Macaca mulatta: one gene and its partner. The protein of the gene in region 2 purifies or fractionates together with the protein of the main gene of each other region. This does not show direct contact. Links are inferred from orthologs where the notes say so. Each region holds a gene or a part of one and is shown on either strand. Other genes may lie near its edges. The genes, in order: CHM and RAB5A.

The links.
Region 1: the proteins of RAB5A (region 2) and CHM purify together in Homo sapiens (affinity purification with mass spectrometry; 3 studies listed by BioGRID and IntAct, counting the BioPlex papers as one, with this or other methods). This does not show direct contact. The link is inferred for Macaca mulatta from reciprocal best matches to the Homo sapiens genes RAB5A and CHM.

What each region holds. Positions count from the first base shown.
Region 1 is NC_133426.1:92,463,634-92,473,484, forward strand, and holds the start of CHM (rab proteins geranylgeranyltransferase component A 1), read right to left. Parts: upstream 4,820-9,851; 5' UTR 4,794-4,819; coding exon 4,682-4,793; intron 4,568-4,681; exon of another isoform or gene 4,372-4,567; intron 1-4,371. UniProt on the Homo sapiens protein: Substrate-binding subunit of the Rab geranylgeranyltransferase (GGTase) complex.
Region 2 is NC_133407.1:28,605,546-28,614,897, reverse strand, and holds the start of RAB5A (ras-related protein Rab-5A), read left to right. Parts: upstream 1-312; 5' UTR 313-707; intron 708-3,987; 5' UTR 3,988-4,080; coding exon 4,081-4,243; intron 4,244-9,352. UniProt on the Homo sapiens protein: The small GTPases Rab are key regulators of intracellular membrane trafficking, from the formation of transport vesicles to their fusion with membranes.

The DNA of each region.
Region 1 (9,851 bases), on a different chromosome or scaffold from region 2:
AAATTTAAATAAACCACCAGATCCTGCAAGAATGAACTCACTATTACAAGAACAGCACCAAGCCATAAGGGATCTGCTCCCATGACCCAAACACCTCCCACCAGGCCCCACCTCCAACAATAAGGATAACATTTCAACATGAGATTTGGGCAGGACAAATATCCAAACCATATAAGCCATTTTTATAGGAAAATTTCTGAAGTATATTAAACACTGACCTTCCTTCTTAAAAAGACTACACAGAACACAATTTAGCCTTTTCTCAAGGACATGGTGTTATAAATAGAAATATACAATGGTAATTTTAGAGCTGGTAGATCCCTACCTTGAAGATCAACTATTGAAATCTCACTTTACAGATGAACTAAATGATGTCGCAAGAAATTCTGTAATTTTCCCAAAAATCACACAATAGAATGGTCATGTGATTACCATATACCATGCTGCCACATCTACTACTGTATGGTGCTAAACACTATCTAGCAAGATAATCAGGATTTAGGGGCAGTAGTCCTTATAATTTCCCTCGTGTTTATCTTTGTTATCCCTTCTCTTTCCCCATAATCTTTAGCAATAAAACTTTTTTTTTTTTTTTGAGACAGGGGCTTGCTCTGTCGCCCAAGCTAAAGTGCAGTGACACAACTATAGCTCACTGAAGCCTCAAACTCCCAGGTTCAGGCAATCCTCCCACCTCAGCCTTCCAAGTAGCTGGGACTACAGGCATGTGTCACCATACCCAGTTAATTTTTGTATTTTTTTGCAGAGATACAGTTTTGCTGTGTTGCCCATTTCAGCTACTTGGGAGGCTGAGGTCTCTAACTCCTGAGCAAGCAATCCACCTACCTCGGCTTCCCCAAGTGCTGGGATTACAGTTGTGAGCCACTGCACCTGGCCAATGAACCTTTATTTTTATTTATTTTTTTTTTTTTTGAGACAGTCTCACTCTGTTTCCCCGACTAGAGTGCAGTGGCACCATTGAAGCTCACTGCAACCTCCGCCTTCCAGGATCAAGGGATGCCTGCGCCTTAGCCTATGGAGTAAGGGGGACTATACGCCCACGCCACCATGCTTGGCTAACAATAAAACTTTTAAATCAAAAGAATCTATGTGTTTATCCTATTCAGGAGAAAAATTAAGCTAACATACTCTGCAGCCCATCTTAGGGGAAGAACTCCAAAAGATGTGAGCAGTGTGCTTTTAAAAAGGGAAAAAAAATGCAGGCTGAATCTCTGTATGGTCTTCAAAAAGAAAGAAGGATGCAATGAAAAGCCTACATTGTCTTAAGAACAGCTTTGGGGATATGACTGTTAGGAAGCCCAAAAAGTTCCTCAGAATAGGCAATGCAGTAAACTTCACAAGGGAAGGGACTAGGTTCTCAATAAACGTGGGTTGAATGACCTGAAAAATGAATATCTGTCACTACACTAAATGTTATCGGGGCTTTGTGATGTTTGATGTTAAGTTTGCATTTTATGTGTTTTTCTCTTCCCTTTCCTATACAGATATAAACTGTCATTTATATGCCTAAGAGCACCCCCCACCAAACATAGTCTTTTCAGAAGTTGATAACATTTCTTGTATCTTCTAAGGGGGTGGTTCTAATATGCTGAACTTGCTAGAATTATTTTTAAAATGAGGATGAATATGTTCTAAGTGATGATCTCAGGGATTCCCCTATGTATGAAGCATTTCAATACTATCATATAGGTCTTATAACGTCCATCTTGACTGCTCTTCTGTTGAGCTCTTGGCTCTGCTGTGCTGCAGATTACACAGGCTGCCAGATAAGTCACCTCCAGTGAGATGTTATGTTACTGGGACTATTTTTAACCTGAAACCAATGGTACTTGTCTATAATCCACAAAACTGTCATTTAAATGACTTTTTAAATGGCAAAATATCCTGAAAAATGACAATTCTGTGCCCAAGCTATGGAGGAGCACTTTCTAGACCCTTACCACATATATCTATTTTTATCCTCTCCCTTGAGACTCCAGTTGACCCTCCTTCTTTATTCCATTTTCTTCTATTTTTTCCACAATTCACTTTATCTTACTCTTCTGTCTTTGGGTGTTCAAGAGATATTTACTGTATTTTCTAATCAGAAGGAAATGGGCTTAACTAAGAAAATACAAAGTTTATTTTTCCCATAATCTCCTGAAAATATGATCTTAAGGAAAAATTTCCATCTTGAATTACAGAAAATGAGAATGCAAGTTAATCAAGGTCAAAGGGATTATAAAATATTATCTTCACATGATTATACTTGATGAAGCAATTGTCCCTTTAGGACATTTTACCTAGGACTAAATATGCTAAAAAGTATATCTAATAGCCTATTTCTTCATGTTTCTGATGCATGCATTATTGCTTCTACTTTTGTTAATACAACTGAATCTATGAAACACTGCTTTTTCTATGTTTTACTCAATGTAATACATTTAATAAAGCAAACATTTTAAAGGCAACTTTCAGCAAACTATTTCACAAGAGAAATATTCCAAGCGCGCTAAAAAATAAATAATGATTGGAATTGTTGGAATCATTTATTTGGGAAATGGCTCTTTTATTTAATTTTTACACTTTTGATTTGTTGGAATCGTTTATTTGGGGAATGACTCTTTTATTCAATTTTTACACTTTTGATGTACCTAAAAACAAAATTACATATCATAAATTTAAGCAATGTGCTTGATAAAACCTAGAATGTGTCACCAATAAACAATATGAAAAATTTCAGTTTTAAGATTAACTTCAAATAAGTTCTTCCCAAACACTGAAAAATAATATTGCACTCACTGGGATAAATATAATATGAGTCTTTTTCCAAATATAAGCAATGTCACCTGATGCAATTCTCTGGCTCACTCACTATAACTTCCTACCTCCACCAAAACAAACTCCATCAGGATGGATGTATTCCATATCTGAACTGTACAGAAGGCAAAATATTTATGAAAAGCATTAGCATCATTCATAAGAATTAACATTCATCAATTAAAATTTGAACCCAGACCTGAAAGAAAAATTGTTGATTAAAAAAATTGTTAAAAACACCTCAAGTTCCTACATAACAAAAAAAGCAAGATTATAAATCTCAAGTATGGTAATAACAACTATTCCAAAATGGATGTTGTTCTCAGTTTTAGTATAGACTGGAAAGAACAAATGAATAGTTCATTGGCTCTTTCCAGCTCTCATCCAACATCTGTTCATAGCAACTACAACCAGGTTATTTGTAGCCATGCTGTTATTTTCAGGCTACGAATAAACAGGTCCGTGCTGTTCTGAGAACTATTACCCAGGCATTTTTTGTTAGACAACATAAACCCCATCTAGTTTACCTTCCCTATATCAAAAACAAGGAAACTGAGGCTCAGAGAGATGTAGTGCCTGCGCCCCCCCCCCCCCCGCCCCAATTCAAGCAATTCACACTAGCACTAAGCAAGGCCTAAAACCAGGTTTTCGGTTTTCTCAATTGTTTCTACGAATATGGGTCAACTCTGAGGATCAGAACCACGGATTGTTTTTCTGGGATGGAAGGGGCCTTTGGAAATTTACAAGCTGTGTGATCCTGAGCAAATTACAACCTTTCCAAGTCCCCTTTTCCTCTTCTACAAAATGCAGAGAGTACCTACTACTCTAACAAGGTTGTGAGGATTATGTCCGGCTTGTAAAGTGCTTAGCACAGTGATTAGGAAATTTTAAGCATTCGAAAACAGGTAGCTATTATTTTTACTCCCATCCTGAAAACATGGCTGCTCCTCATCACGGCTGTTTGAGAAGACAACGAACTGAATTCATTAACACAATGGACAGGGTCCCATCCACCAGAGCTTCTCTGGCCTACCACATTCTACAAACAGTAGAAAACCCCATCAAACAACCTATTTCATCCCACCTAAAATGATCATCCCTTACACTATTTTTCTAAAAAAATGAATTTGCTGCCACATGTCTTCTGCTACGTGTTGTACACTGCATATGTCAAACAGAAATTGCAGAGGAGTTTCTGGTTCCACCCAAAACATGAAGAACAAACGACGGGAAAAGAATTAGATAAGGTCACACACCTGAACTGGAACTCAGGACCTTATTCTCAGCACATTCAGTTATGGGCGGTAGAAATGCTTTAAGCACCATAAAGCAGGAATAATGGCTACCTCAACAAAATACAATTCCCTAGGTTTCTCAACAAAATAGAATCCGTTTGCTTTCCCTAGTAAATCCATACGCACATGGGCAATAACTGATCATCTTTCTTGTAAAACTGAGGATTAAGCTGTGCCTGAGCTGCGATGTACCCTAGGATCATACAAATCTATGAAAAAGTCCTATGAAATGGCGAGACAAAATGATGGGGAATATCACCTTGAAATCAATAAGGAAGGAATCATAATGTCTTGCCAAAGTCGTCTCCGTTGATAAAATCCCGACCCTCCATTTCATGACACTGCACATCCACTTCCCTCTAAGGAAATTAACAGGAATCACCGCAGCAACCAACCTCAGCAATCAGCATCGACCAGATCAACCCCTACTCAAATGGCGATAAGCACTGCGGGTCCAAGCCCCTCCCTGTAACTGCCAATTCCCGCGCTGACTCCGGACTACCTCACTTCCTTTCCGTTCTCCCTCCCACCCTCGACCCACGATGTTTGTCCCAAAACTCGCCACTCACAGAAAAAATAGAAACAAGACAGTCTTCCTAAACTTTGTCCAGGAAGTACCAGGTTACACATACCAGTCCCTATTACGATCACATCAAACTCCGAAGGGAGAGTATCCGCCATCTTGACGGGAAACGCGTCATGTGACTATTACTTGTGGAAATGAGATCAAGTTAGGCATTCCCTCAGTGGAAGGCGGAAAGGAAAACAATGCATTCTGGGTGGTGTAGTTCTTGGGTGGAAGGTCCTGGCAGGCGACTACAGTATTATATTTAAAATGTTTACACGTAAATTAAAAGCTCGACTGATTTTCCAGGCTGAGTGCTGTAGCTCATTTAGCCTGGAGGGTTGAAGTAGGAAAGAAATGTAGATTGTTATTCCGTTAGCTAGGATGAATGTGGGAGACTTGGATACCCCTTGACAATACTGAAGCAAGAATTGTTAGGAGACACGGAGAGCGGAGTGAAATTGAAAGCGGTTTGCTCTGTGAACAAAGGAGATTTTCATCCAGCCTAAAAAACTGTTTCCCGCCGTCGTGTCTGTACTTTCGTGTTGGCCCTCGAGGCACGGTTTTTCACACCAATACTTTCAAAATATATTCCATATCTTTTTCGTTTCCATGTCTCCTCAATGAAAACCCACGAAAAACCTCTCACCCTAGTTTCTTCAGAATGGAACTCTCACCGCGTCCGCATTTGTTCTAATTAGTCCAGACAGCCACTCGGGCAATAGATTAGCCTTGTTTTATAAGAGGGAAAAAATATATGAAACCATAGTTGTACTGGATAAGCGTTTGTTGAGTCTGAATTTGATTTTCCGCACGAACTAGATAAGTTCATGCAAGATTCTCCTTAGTTTACATTTAGTTTCCAATCTATTCGTTTCCATAAGCTACCGTAGAAATAATTAAGGTTAAATGGCCTTTATATTAAAGTGATTGTATTTGACGAGGGACTTTAGGTCGTCTATGTCTAACAGCTAACAGAGTTCTCATAAGTATCTTCAAGGTCTGTCACCTCCCACCGCTTCCCTTCATCCGCCCCCTACCCCGACCCCTATCATTTAAAATACTCCGCTGTCTGACAACACCAAAGCAAAAGGGGAAGGATGCTGGGAATGAAGCAGGATACTTTTTTGATCACAGAAATTTCTTGTGTAGTTATTTTACAAGAGTTTCAAAATAAATCGAAGATAGTGTGCAGGAGTGGGCCTTCCCCGATACCACCTATCCTCTAAAATGCTTGTGGTTCCCCAGACATTGTTTTCTTTCCAGTATCTGTGACCACACTCATGCTCAGCGTGGAATGATCTTCCCATTCTCTAGCTAACAGTTATTCCCAGGATGTCGTTGGGCTTCCACCTCCTCCTCCTTTCATCTCCGTGTGTGGGCTGTTTTCCTACACGGTGCTAGACTTTGTCTTAACCTGCCGTACTGCTTCGACAGTTTGCATTTATGTCGATTCCTATAGAGTACACATATCCCCACATATTCACACAAAAATACACACGCAGACATGCAATACCATAATTAGAAACCCCTGTACAGTATGACAGACACCAAGTCTCGTTTATCTTTTTCACTCTCGCACCTAACCTAAGCCCGGTGCACAGTAGGAATTTAATAAATGTTTGCTAAACCAAACTTGATTTTGACTCCCTTAATGGATGGATGAGATGAGTCCCTGTCCTCATAGTGCTTACCATCTTCGCCTTTATATCTGCCCACCACTATCATGTGCCTTATATTTAGAAGATGTTCAGTGTTCATTAATTGTAAATATTTCCATGAAAATGCTTTAAAATATATTTTGATGGGTTTTTACTGCATTTCTCTTGCATTTTACCATAATCATTAGCAACACTGTACATGTTTCATTAATTTCTTTTATAGATCATCCAGTTGTATTACACAATTCTCTTATGATATGGTCTTTGATTAGTATTTCCTGTAAAAGAGATTCCCCTGAGAAGTATAATGCACTGTTCAGTAAATCACTCTGTCATTTGGCTTGGTATGTAAAGAAAGTTTTTAGTATTATCAGAAGTGAAATAGATATTATTTGTGAGGCTCTTGATATGACAGTAGAAAATGGAAACAAATGAATTTCTCAGAGTAAACACAGGAAACTTTCCAAAATCTTCTCTAATAGAAGCCACAGATGGATGGTTAAAAATCTGATAAATAAAAGTATTTCTACCATACTTTGGATATATATTTCTATACATTTGTTCATGTATATGAGATATATAAACCACATACATATACTTTTCAATATGAGTATCTCTTTCTAGGAATTCAGAAATTTTCTGACAATCACACCATGAAGATGCAATTCATTAATTTGTTTATTCCTCAAATATTCATTGAACACCTACTATGTGCAAGACACTATTTTGGATGCTGAGATTAGAGCAATGAACAAAATAGACAAGGACCCCTGTCTTCATGAAGTTTACATTTAGTAGGGTAAAACAAAATAAACAAGTAATTACTCTGTAGCATAGATTTTCCAATCTGTGCTGCCCTGAATTTGAAACTTTCTTTTTTCCCCTAAGGATAGAAAGCATGATCCTCAGAAGGATAATATTAACAACTTCTATTTTGCTGTCCTTTCTCTAAAATCATTACGGGACTCATTCATGCCCTTTTCTGGGCATAGAAAATATTATTACATTAGGAAAATTTCAATCTTGTGCATGGAGAAAATGCTCCAAATACCTTTTCTTTCGAATGTATTTTTGTAGACTTTATGCAAAGTAAAGATGAATATAGGAGTCAATAATTACAGTAAAAAAGCATAAAGCAAAACAGCTGAATTGCATCTATTCTGTTACTCTAAGGATATCTATTATTGAGAGCTTAAGTATTTTATTGGGATAAGTCACAGTACAATGAGATAACAGATACCTAAAAATTGACCACTCTATTAAAATCACTGTGGCACTAATTTTGTACTTAATTATTTCCTGAATTGAAAAAGCATGATTCCTTGAACACTTACCTGGTATTCAGACATTTACTCAACTATGAAATCTGGCTGTTATCGTTATACAAATCATAATTTAATGGTCTCTATCACTGGGACCTTTCCTTTGTGTTCCAGACCCACATATCCAATCTCTTACTGAACATCTCTTCCAAACATGTCCAATGCTGAACTACTGAACATTTGAATCCCGCTCCCAAATCTTCTCTTCATCCAGCATTCCCTGTCTTAGAAATAGTACCACCTTCTACTCTGCTATTCAAGTCAAAAACCCAAGAATCATCCTTGACACATCACTGTCTTTCACCCTTAAACCAATTCATCAGCAACACTTGCCATATTTACCTCAAAAATATATTGTAACTATATCAATTAATCTCAATATGGAATGCCCACATAATCTCTTCCCTAGACTACTACAATTGGTTATAGTTGGACCCCTCATTAATGCTTGCTTCTCTCTAGTCCATTCTCCCCACTGAAGGCAGAGTAAATATTTTAAAACTCAAATCTGATTATTCCTTTACCTACAACACTTCATGACTTCTCATTGTTTTTAAAATACACTCCAAAAATATAAACATAGCCTAAAAGGCCCTGCCTAACTCTTCAGTCTCGTCTCATACCTCTTAACCTTCTCTCTCTAGGCTCCAGCCATATTAGCTCTCCTTCATTTCCTCGAGTGCTCATGCTTCTCCCCACTTCAGGGCCTTCACTGATACCCTTCCATGTGCCTGAATTGCACCTTTATCCTTCTGCCCCTCTTTATTGTAGCTTCTCATCCTTTACAGTTAATTTGAAACGTCACATAATCTGGCAAGTCTTTCTTGAGTCATCAGTCTAGCTTAGGTCCCCTATCACCCTATATTCCCTCTTTGTTGAACTTATGATTGGAAATATCCGATTACTTATGGAATTACTTGTTTCATCTTGTTAGAAGGTAAGATCTGCAAAGGCAAGGACTATGCCCATATTGGTCATCATTATATTCCCAGAACCTAGTCCAATACCTGGTACAAATGGTCACTCAAAAATGTCTGCTGAGAGTTTCTCTTGGCATTCATTTCTGTTTTTATTCCACTGTGGTCCAAGAATATGCTTGGTATGATTTCCACTTTTTTAAAATGTATTGAGACTTGCCTTATAGCACAGCATGTGGTCATTCTTAGAGTATGTAGCATGTGCAGATGAGAAGGACATATATTCTGTGGTTGTTCAGTGGATTATTCTATAGGTGTTTATTGGGTCGAATTGATCAAGTGTCAAATTCACATCCAGAATTTCTTTATTAGTGTTTTGCCTTGATGTTCTATCTAATGCTATCAGTGGAGTATTGAAGTCTTCCACTATTATCGTGTGGCTAAGTCTTTTCATGGGTCTGGAAGTACTCATTTTATGAATCTGGGTGCATGTATATTTAGGAGAGTTAAGTCTTTGTGCTGAATTGAACCATTTGTTATTATATAATGGCCCACTTTGTCCTTTTTTACTGTTGTTGGATTAAAGTCTGTTTTATCTAATACAAGAATATCAAGCCCCGCTCTTTTTTTTTTTTTTTTTTTTTTCATCTGCATGATAGATCCTTCTCTCTTTGAGCCTATGGGTGTCATTACACGTGAGATGAGTCTTTTAAAGACAGCAGAATGTTCGTTCTTGTTTTTGTAATCCAACTTGCCACCCTGTGTCTTTTAAGTTGGGTGTTTACACCATTTACATTCAAGATTAATATTGATAAGTGAGGTTTTGTTTCTGTTGTGATGATGTTAGCTGGTTTCTTTGTAGTCTTGATAGTTTAGTTGCTTTATGAGGTCTGTGGGTGATGCATTTAAGTGTGTTTTTGTGATAGCAGGTATGTTTATTTTGTTTCCAAGTTTAGAGCTCCTTAAGTATCTCTTGTAAGTCTAGTTGCAACAGATTCTTTCAGTTCTGGGAAACATTTTATTTCTCCTTTGCTTATGAAGCTTTGTTTACCAGGATATGAAATACTCAACTGGAATTTCTTTTCTTTAAGAATGCTAAAAATAGGCCCCTAATCTTTCCTAGCTTGTAAGATTTCTGCTGAGAAGTCTGCTGTTAGCCTGAAGAGGTTCCCTTTAAACGTGATAACCCTTTTTGTTAGCTGCCTTTAAGATTTTTTCCTGCACTGGAAAGTCTGATGACTATGTACATTGGAGATAGTCATCTTGTATAATAT
Region 2 (9,352 bases):
TCTTCCCCCAAAGCATAGTAAAAGAATTTCCCCCGAACCCGGCCGCCGGGAGCCCAGAGACCCCCCAGCCCAAATAACAATGGCGCTGGAGAGGGCGTGGCCGCGCGTACCTGGGGTGGGGGAAGGGAAGAAAGGCGGCCAGCTCCGGTCAGAGCCACTCGCAGGGTCACGTGACATCTTGCCTCGCCCCGCCCCGCGAACAGACCTGGGCGGGGAGGGATTCGGGAAGGGGCGGGGAAGCGGATGGAGCGGGGGCACTGGCGATGACGGGAAGTGACGAAAGGGCGTAGTTCGCTGCGTGCGGCGACGTGGCGGCGGGGCCGACACCGGACAGCGGAAGTGGCTCCGGCGGTGGGACTTGAGTGTTTGTGTTTTGGTTCGTGAAGGCGCCGGCGGCTGGCCTTAGGGGAGGAGGCAGAGGGAGGAGGAGGAGGAAGACTTCGTCGGAACTCCAGCGCCGGCGGCTGCGGCGGAGGAGGGGAAAGGAAAGAGGAAGGCGGAGCGGCGAGAGGCGGAGACGGAGCCCGACAGGGGCGGCACCACGGCAAGAGCCCCGCACAGTCCAGTGTGAGGGGAGCGACGCGAAGAGCAGACGGCGCCGCCGCCGCCACCACCACCGCCATAGACACACACTCATCCTACGGGCCACGCCTGGGCCTTGGTGCCAGGAAGCTTCGGCCCCGCAGCCCGGCTTGCTGCGGTCTCAGGTAACCGAACCGCCTCTCCCCCTGCGCAGTGGGGGTCTGGACCCCAGGTTATCCGCGATCCCCAGCCTGTCCGCGGCCCTGCGGGTACTAAGACCCCCGCCCCTTCTCCCTCATGCGCAGCAGTAGCCTGGACCAGAGAACTATCGAACCCGGCGTCTTGTTCTGCCAGCCCTGGTGACTCATCCTCAAGGGGCTCTGGAGACCGGGATTTGGGGACTGACTGAGGGAGCGACGGGTGTCACCCTTTCCCTTCTCAAGATGGCGCCGTGGAAAGTGTACTGGAGGCCGCGGTTCCGCCTGGTCCCTGTGCTGGCAGTCCTGGGGGTCTCGGTCAAAGCCAGCCAGGTTCGGGGGAGGAGGTTGGAAAGGCCAAGGGACCTGGCGAGTGGTGCTTATCCAGGCGATCTGGAGTTGGCTATAAGCTACTCAGGTGCTCTCCAAGCAGGAACCCGGGCCTACTGCAGGTGTGAATGTGGGGAGCTCCGCCTACCTGCAACTTCCAAAGACGTGTAGTGTCGGTGGGTGGGAGACTCGTCAAAATGGGCCGTCTAGAGACTCTTGTCTTATGTATGGAAGGTAGTGAACTACAGCGTTAAATAAATTCGAGATAACAGGACCGCTGAATTCCTTCAATGGGTAGAGACCATGAAACTTGTTCTGATGTTATCTTTCCTGGAAGCTGTTTACCTCTGAGACTTTCAAACTTTTAAGTTCTGAACGTCATAGTTCACATACTTGGTTTTTGTCTTGCTTAAGTGGAATCAAAGCGTTCAATCAGTTGCCTTTTACATAATAAGAAAAAAACACTTGCACATCTCTGGGAATACTCAAGACTGCTCATAAACTTTATTCCTAAAGTAAAATGGAAATGATAACTCAGCATTTGTGTAAGCAAAGTACATGAAACAGTGCCTGGCACAAAATAAGTGCCCAATTTTTTGATCAAAGAACACTTAGAAGGATTTTAACTATAGAATGAATAACAGTTATTTTCAAAAGATTACAAATGTATATTATGCAAAATTCTTGTTTTGCAAAACAAGTGTCAGTAAGCAGTGAATACAAATGAATACACGTAATTTTTAACCTTCGTGTTATGCTAAGTGTGTATTTACTATTAACTCTAGTTATTTCCTGTTTGAGATCCTCAAGGGGAGTAGCCACAGTTAAGTAACTTTAAACCTTAAAAGTCAAAGTGAAATCAGAATCTTGTTTGATTTTTTTTTTATGGGAATCTGATGTTTTGCCTGAAATTTTGAAAGTACCGTAGAAATTTGGAGCATGTTGTCCTTGATAAGTAATTTCGTGTTTTTGTAGATAAAAAGACAAATGGAAAATGTTTTAATTGATACTGCTTGTGTAATATCTGAAGATGTATTGGTGCATTTTCAGTACATATGATGTTCTCTAGATATTTTCTTATCAAAGGACCACGTTATTGACAATTTCAATCCCTACTATGTTTATTAGAGATTGTTTACATGTATTGTTTCATTTAATTGTCACAGCAGCTATGCAAGTTAGATATTATGGGAATAGAGACTTGGAAATTAAAGAATTTGCCCAGGCGGAAATTGGTATAGCCAGGATTAGACCCCCAAGTCTGGTATGTTTGTGGGGAGGGGGATTTTTATTTATACGTCGTTATTTAGAAGCAACTCAGATATTACCTCAATTAATCTGTACATATTTCAGAATGTAATGGTAAAAGATAAGGACTCTAGAAAGCTGGTGTTTAGTTAAGGCAGGGAGGTAGTTTTATTGCCTTAAGAACTAAGATCTCGTGGACATGTTAGGGAATTCAGTATCAAGAGCATATTATAAACTGATTTTATGGGAAAGGCGTATTTCTTTCTTTTGTTTTTAATATAGAGACAGGGTCTCACTGTTGCCCAGGCTGGTCTCAAGCAGTCCTTCTTCCTCAACCGCCAAGTGTTGGAATTTACCAGTATAAGCCACTGTGTCCAGTGTGAAAGACATATTTCTTACATGAGGTAGCTAAGTGAAATATAGCAGGGTTTTTAGAGAGGGAATCATCAGGTTTAATATATTAGCATATATTCGGATTTTGATTAAAGATAGAAGGAAACTGTTAAGATTGGTTTGTGAGTGGATTGAAAAAGGTTCTTCAAATATTCACTAATTCCTTAGAGATTAAAAATTAGCACAGAAGTTGCCATTCAGGCTAGATTTTTTTAATGTGTTGTTTAAATAAAAAATAATGGCCTGCAGGCTGGGTGTGGTGGCTCACACCTGTAATCCCAGCCCTTTGCGAGGCTGAGGCAGGAGGATTGCTTGAGCCCGGGAATTCAAGATCATGCTGGGCAACATAGCAGGACAGTGTCTCTACCAAAAAAGTGGCCTGGCATGGTTCTGAGCGCCTGTAGTCCCCAGCTACTCAGGAGGTTGTGGCAGGATTGCTTGAGCCCAGGAGGTGTAGGTTACAGTGAGCTATGACCATGCCACTGCACTCCAGCCTGGGTGAGAGAGCAAAACCCTTTCTCAAAAAAATTAATAAAAAAAAAAAGTCATGCATATTTTTCGTCTAAAAACTACAAAAAAGTTGCAATTAGTGTAAGTAAATAAGTCAGTAATAATCCCACCACATAGAGAAAAACTGTTAGCATTTCTGTGTATGGTATACTTGAGCAGATGAAGAAACAGTTTTAAGTCTGTCTGCCATTAGGCACACAAACCTGGGATACTGAAAATATTTGTTGTCCAAAATTACCGTTAATTAAATGAAAAATGTGTCGTTTAACAGAAGACTTCAAATAATACTAAACTCTAGGATCTGTTCTAAAAGCTTCCCATATATTAATAACATAATTTTTCTCAAAACAATGTTAACCCAAGTAGCCTGGCTACAAAACTTGAACTCAAGTCATCTCTCAGGTTGCCTGGGTTTGAAACTCAGCTGTGTGTCACTTCTGTGACAGTAACTATGTGACCTCAATTAAGCTTCTTAACATCTCTGTGCTTGTTTCCTCATTTATAAGGATTGTAATAATATCTCATTTTATAGGATTGTTGAGAAGTTAAGTACTTAAAGTACTGCCTGGCACAAAGTTGAAGCTTTGAGGTTAGCCTTTAAAAAAAAAAAAAAAAGAAAAAATGATTTTGGGCTCAAATCCTATACTTTTAAATTTCCTTTAAAAGATAGTGACATTGAAGGTCTAGTAGAGCTTAAGATAATCGTGCTATAGGCAAATTTTAAAGTGATTAATAGTAAATTTGCTTTACTGATTTGTATATTTAATTCATAATTGTTTCTTTACAGGTTTCTTTACCTCCAGAAAGAAGAATATTGACCCCTTGAATTCTGGAAGTTCATTGAAGAATCTGAAATTAAGGACTTATTTCAAATTTGGACATGGCTAATCGAGGCGCAACAAGACCCAACGGGCCAAATACTGGAAATAAAATATGCCAGTTCAAACTAGTACTTCTGGGAGAGTCTGCTGTTGGCAAATCAAGCCTAGTGCTTCGTTTTGTGAAAGGCCAATTTCATGAATTTCAAGAGAGTACCATTGGGGGTGAGATTTTCTTTTTTCCCTGCTTCATTTAATCGAATCATACGTTGACAAAGTATTTTGATGTTCCAATTGTGTGATTATGAATAGCTAAGTCATAGAGTGAAGAAAAGAGCTGTTCAGCTTACCTTAAGCTTTAAAACTTGCCTTTATTTTTGTGAAAATGATGTGTTTTTACATTTGATTGTTTGGTTAATCCCTTGTGGTTATATTGTCGCTAAAATACAGATAAAAACATGAGTAGAATCAGTGTCTCAAGTAATATGACTTGACCTGATACCTATTTCTAGCTAACAAGTAGAAGCTTCTTCAAATTAATACAGTACATGTTTGTGCTCAATTATATTGGTTTAAAATGAATAGTAAAAAAAAGTAACCTTAAATTCTGATCTATATAACTGAACTATTTGTAAATCATTATACTTATTTGTAAAATTAATTAAATATAATTAAATACTGCTAGATGTACTTTTTTTGTTGTTATTTAAGAGATGGAATCTTGCCTAGGCTGGAGTGCAGTGTCCGGATCATAACTCACTGCAGACTGCAGCCTGGAACTCTCAGCTCAAATGATCATCCTGCCTTAGCCTCCCACTAAGTAGTTGGGCCTAAGGGTGCTTGCCACCATGCCAGGCAAGTTTGTTTTTTTTTTTTTAAGAGTCTCAGTCTTGCTGTGTTTCCAGGTTGGTCTTGAACTCCTGGCCTCAAGTAAGCCTCCATTCTCAACCTCCCAGGTAGCTGTGATTATAGGTGCTCCCTGCTAAGATGTACATGTAAGAATGCTCCTAAGCTGAGGGAAGAGAAAAAGTGATTAATGGAAAGGGACATGACAGGAAAATGGAACCTGAAGAAAAAGATGAAATGAGAAGGGAAAAATAGGCACTGACAAGGTGGTCATGGTGCGACAGAGATGAGGGGAAGGTAAGATGCAGGGTGAAAAGGAGACAGCGAACAGTACGGTATTGTCAAGAGAGGACATGAAGTGGGAAAATTGAATTTTAGCTGGGCGTGGTGCTGCATTCCTGTAGTCCCAGGTATTTGGAGGCTGAGGCAGGATTATTTTAGCCTAGGAGTTCAAGTCTAGCCTGGGCAACACAATGAGAACCCATCTCTTTAAAAAAAAACAACAAAAAAAAATTGACTTTAATCAAAGAAACCTATAATTATATAGCTGTGGGACAAGAGAGCCTCTTTTGGGCCGCTGTTTAATCTGTGAAATGATGCTTTTAATCTGTGAAATGATGCTTTTCAATTAGATGAAATGTGGGAAGAATGACACAGTTTGAGATTCACGATATTTTGCAAGTGATACATAATTAAGCAATGCTCTTTTCTGAGGTATTTGTATATATGTTTTAACCCCATCCTGTAAAATTAAAGTCAAACTGTGGAGATAAGACAGGTAGATACCAGCTGGCATGTGGCAACTTCTTGGAATCTGTCTTTCAGAAGCAAAACTTCATACTGTGCATTTAGTGAGTGTTCTTCAGCAAATATGCTTGAGAATGTTATTCATAATCTTAGACCCATTCTAGTAAGATAAGTTACAGAACTCTACTGCCTCCTGGCCCTTGTATATCTTGTTACAATGTTATATTAGAATGTTTTATGTTTTTTCTAATTGCTGAACATCAGAAAGCATCATGGAGCTTTTGAGTCAGAAGTCTTGACATTTTAAAAAATGTTAATACACAATATATTAGACATCCTTTGTGATCTTTTTTTTCCTTGAAGGTACATCCACATGTGATTTTGTTGTTGTTGTTAATACACTATATCCATTTTAATAATGAAATACTGCTTCTCTAGGTTTCGCTTCCTCCAGAAGCAATTTAATCTAAAGCTAACAATTTAATCTAATTAGTCCAGTAGGAAAAGGTTAAAGAATGCTAGATCATGTACACCCACTTACTTTACTGTTAATGGCAGCATTTCCCAAAGTATATATGCATTCTGGGTTAAATACCTGGGCCAAATACGTTTGGGAGTTACTATATGCTACTCTTTTCTCCTCTCTTTATTATTTTATTAAAATAATAAAAAATCTGAAGTACTGTAGTATAGAACTTAATTCCTGGGGAGCTTTGCAAGAGCTTAAGGTTAGAATTTTTATCTTGTTTTGGGTAATCCACTTCTAAGTTTATTTTTTCCTAATGATAGCTCAAGAAGGGTGTTTAAAAGAAAAATATAACCCATATCCTGTGTATCATAAACATATCTCTGATACGTGTGTATCTCCATATAATGTCCATGTAACACCAGTTAGATTGTCTTGATTTCATTAATGAATTTTTCGTAAAGATTTTCATTTCTATTTGTAGAGCTTCCTATTTAAAAACAAAAATGAATTTGCATCCAAATTTCTATTAATCCTTTTTTTTTTTTTTTTTGAGACAGGGTCTCTGTCGCCCAGGCTAGAGTGCAGTGGCGCCGCCCTGGCTCACTGCGACCTCCGCTTCCCAGGATTGAGCGATTCTCATGCCTCAGCCCGCCAAGTACCTGGGACTATAGGCGCAAGCCACCACTCCTGGCTAATTTTTGTATTTTTAGTAGAGATGGGGTTTCACCATGTCGGCCAGGTTGGTCTTGAACTCCTGGCCTCAAGTGATCCGCCCGCCTTAGGCTCTCCAAGTGCTGAGATTACAGGCATGAGCCACTGCCCGTGGCCTTTCTGTTAATCTTTATTGGATACTTTTTCACTGTGCTGACCCCATGTGAATACTATTCAGGAGGTATGACAGTACCATTATGATTATAGCTGTGGACACTGTTCTTTTATGCTCTGTACTCATAGCTTTTCACCTTTAGGAGCTAGAGTAGATGTAAAACATTTAAGAATTTTAAGGTTTGAGCTATTTCATGATCAACTCAAAAGGTCTATAACTTGCAGGTAATACGTATTTTTGTTTTGACTGACAGGTAGTAGAAGTTACCTGAAAAATGAAGCCAACCAACTCTTTTGCATTTCAACTGTTGGGTTTTTTTTTTTTCTTTTTGAGACAGAGTTTCACTACGTGGCCCAGGTTGGAGTGCAGTGGTATGATCTAGGCTGACTGCAACATCCACTTCCCAGGTTCAAGCGATTCTCCTGCCTCAGCCTCCTGAGTAGCTGGGATTACAGGCCCACACCACCACTCCCAACGAACTTTTGTATTTTTAGTAGAGACAGGGTTTTGCCATCTTGGCCAAACGGGTCTCAGACTCCTAACCTCAAGTGATTCACCTGCCTCGGCCTCCCAAAGTGCTGGAATTATAGGCGTGAACTACCATGCCTGGCCTCAGCTGTTTAATTTTCACTTTACTGTTTATATCTCCTGACTTGAGTTATTGTTCTGAAGCACTCACTTAAAATTTTCATCTCTATTTGATTGTGTTCAAAGGTGGATATCATATGTTACATTCTTTGTGGATTCTGGATCCACAAAGAAAGAATATCAAGATTTCTTCTGTAATTTGTGTGGTTCTTCCTAAATATAATAACTTGATTTAAAAATTCCTGTTGCACTGGGCATGATGGCTCACATCTGTAATCCCAGCACTTTGGGAAGCTGAGGTGGGCAGATCACTTGAGTCCGGGAATTTGAGACCAGCCTGGCCAACATAGCGAAACCCCATCTTTACAAAAAATACGAAAATTGGCCAGGCGTGGTGGCACACACCTGTAGTCCCCGCTACTCAGAAGGCTGAGGTGGGAGGATTGCTTGAACTCAAGAGGCGGAGGTTACAGTGAGCCGAGACTACACCCCCACACTCCAGCCTAGGTGACAGAGTGAGAACCCTGTTTCAACCAAAAAAAAAAGAATCCTTGTTGCCTCACCATACTTCATGCATCTTACCCCTATAGCACTCTTGATGAAATTGCATGCAGCAGATTTAGCAATTTAGAGAGTTCTAGCTTGTTTGTAGGGGTTTAAAGTTTGCATGACATTTATGTTTTTATTGTTTGTCTGAAGTTAGCCGAGAAGTTAACAAGGAGCAGTAGGCTCAGAGAGTTGTCTTCCTTCTTTGCTTGGTACTGCATCTCTAGGCTCAGGAGCTCTTCAGTAAATACTTGTTGAATGAGGGCTAGCCAGCTTTCGTTTAGCACCTTGAATACCTGAAAAAACTTTAAAGATTCCTAGTGAGTTTCTCTTCTCAAGAAATATTTATTTTTAAGAAGACATTTATGTGATATTTATAAACAAATTAATCCTCAGTAGTTAGAATATGCGGTGAAATAACAAGCAGACAGTCCTTTTTTTCTCTTCTGAGAAAAGTGCTTCATACCACAGTTACAATTTTGTTTGCACTAATCAAAAATGTCTTATAGACTCTAAAGTTTAGGTAATGGAACTGTACATGAAAACATTAACATTCCTCTTGCTGGTTCTGTGATTTTTGAACATTAGCTTAGAACAGTGGTCCTCAAAGAGCATTCCCACTTCCAGAAGCAGCTGCATTAACTAGGAACTTGTTAAAATGCAGAATCTCGTGTTGAATCAAAGCATTTGGGTGGGACCAACAATTTAGGTTTTAATAAGTTTTCCAGATGATTCTGATGGCATGCTAAATTTGAGAACCACTGCTTTATGTGTTCTGAGTAGTTGATTTTACATTGATACTAACATTGATTCTCCCATACACAGAATAATTGTGGGGTTTTTTTGAGGTGCGGTGTTTGTCGGAATTTTAAAAACATTGTTGACCGGGTGCGGTGGCTCATGCCTGTAATCCCAGCACTTTGGGAGGGTGAGGCTGACGCTGGAGATCACGAGGTCAGGAGTTTGAGATCAGCCTGGTCAACATGGTGAAACTTCATCTCTACTAAAAATACAAAAATTAGCTGGGCGTGGCAGTGGGTGCCTGTAACCCCAGTTACTCAGGAGACTGAGGCAGGAGAAACATTTGAACCCAGGAGGCGGAGGTTGCAGTGAGCCGAGATCGCGCCATTGCACTCCAGCCTGGGCGACAGGGCGAGACTCCACCTCAAAAAAAAAAAAAGAAAGAAATTTATTGCAGTTATTAACTCTAAGTGAAGTGCTGTTTCTACTTATATATTTAACACCCATCTAAATTGGTTAGCATGGCAAACTAGTTGTTTTTATTCTAAAACAACATCTAACAGGAATAAAA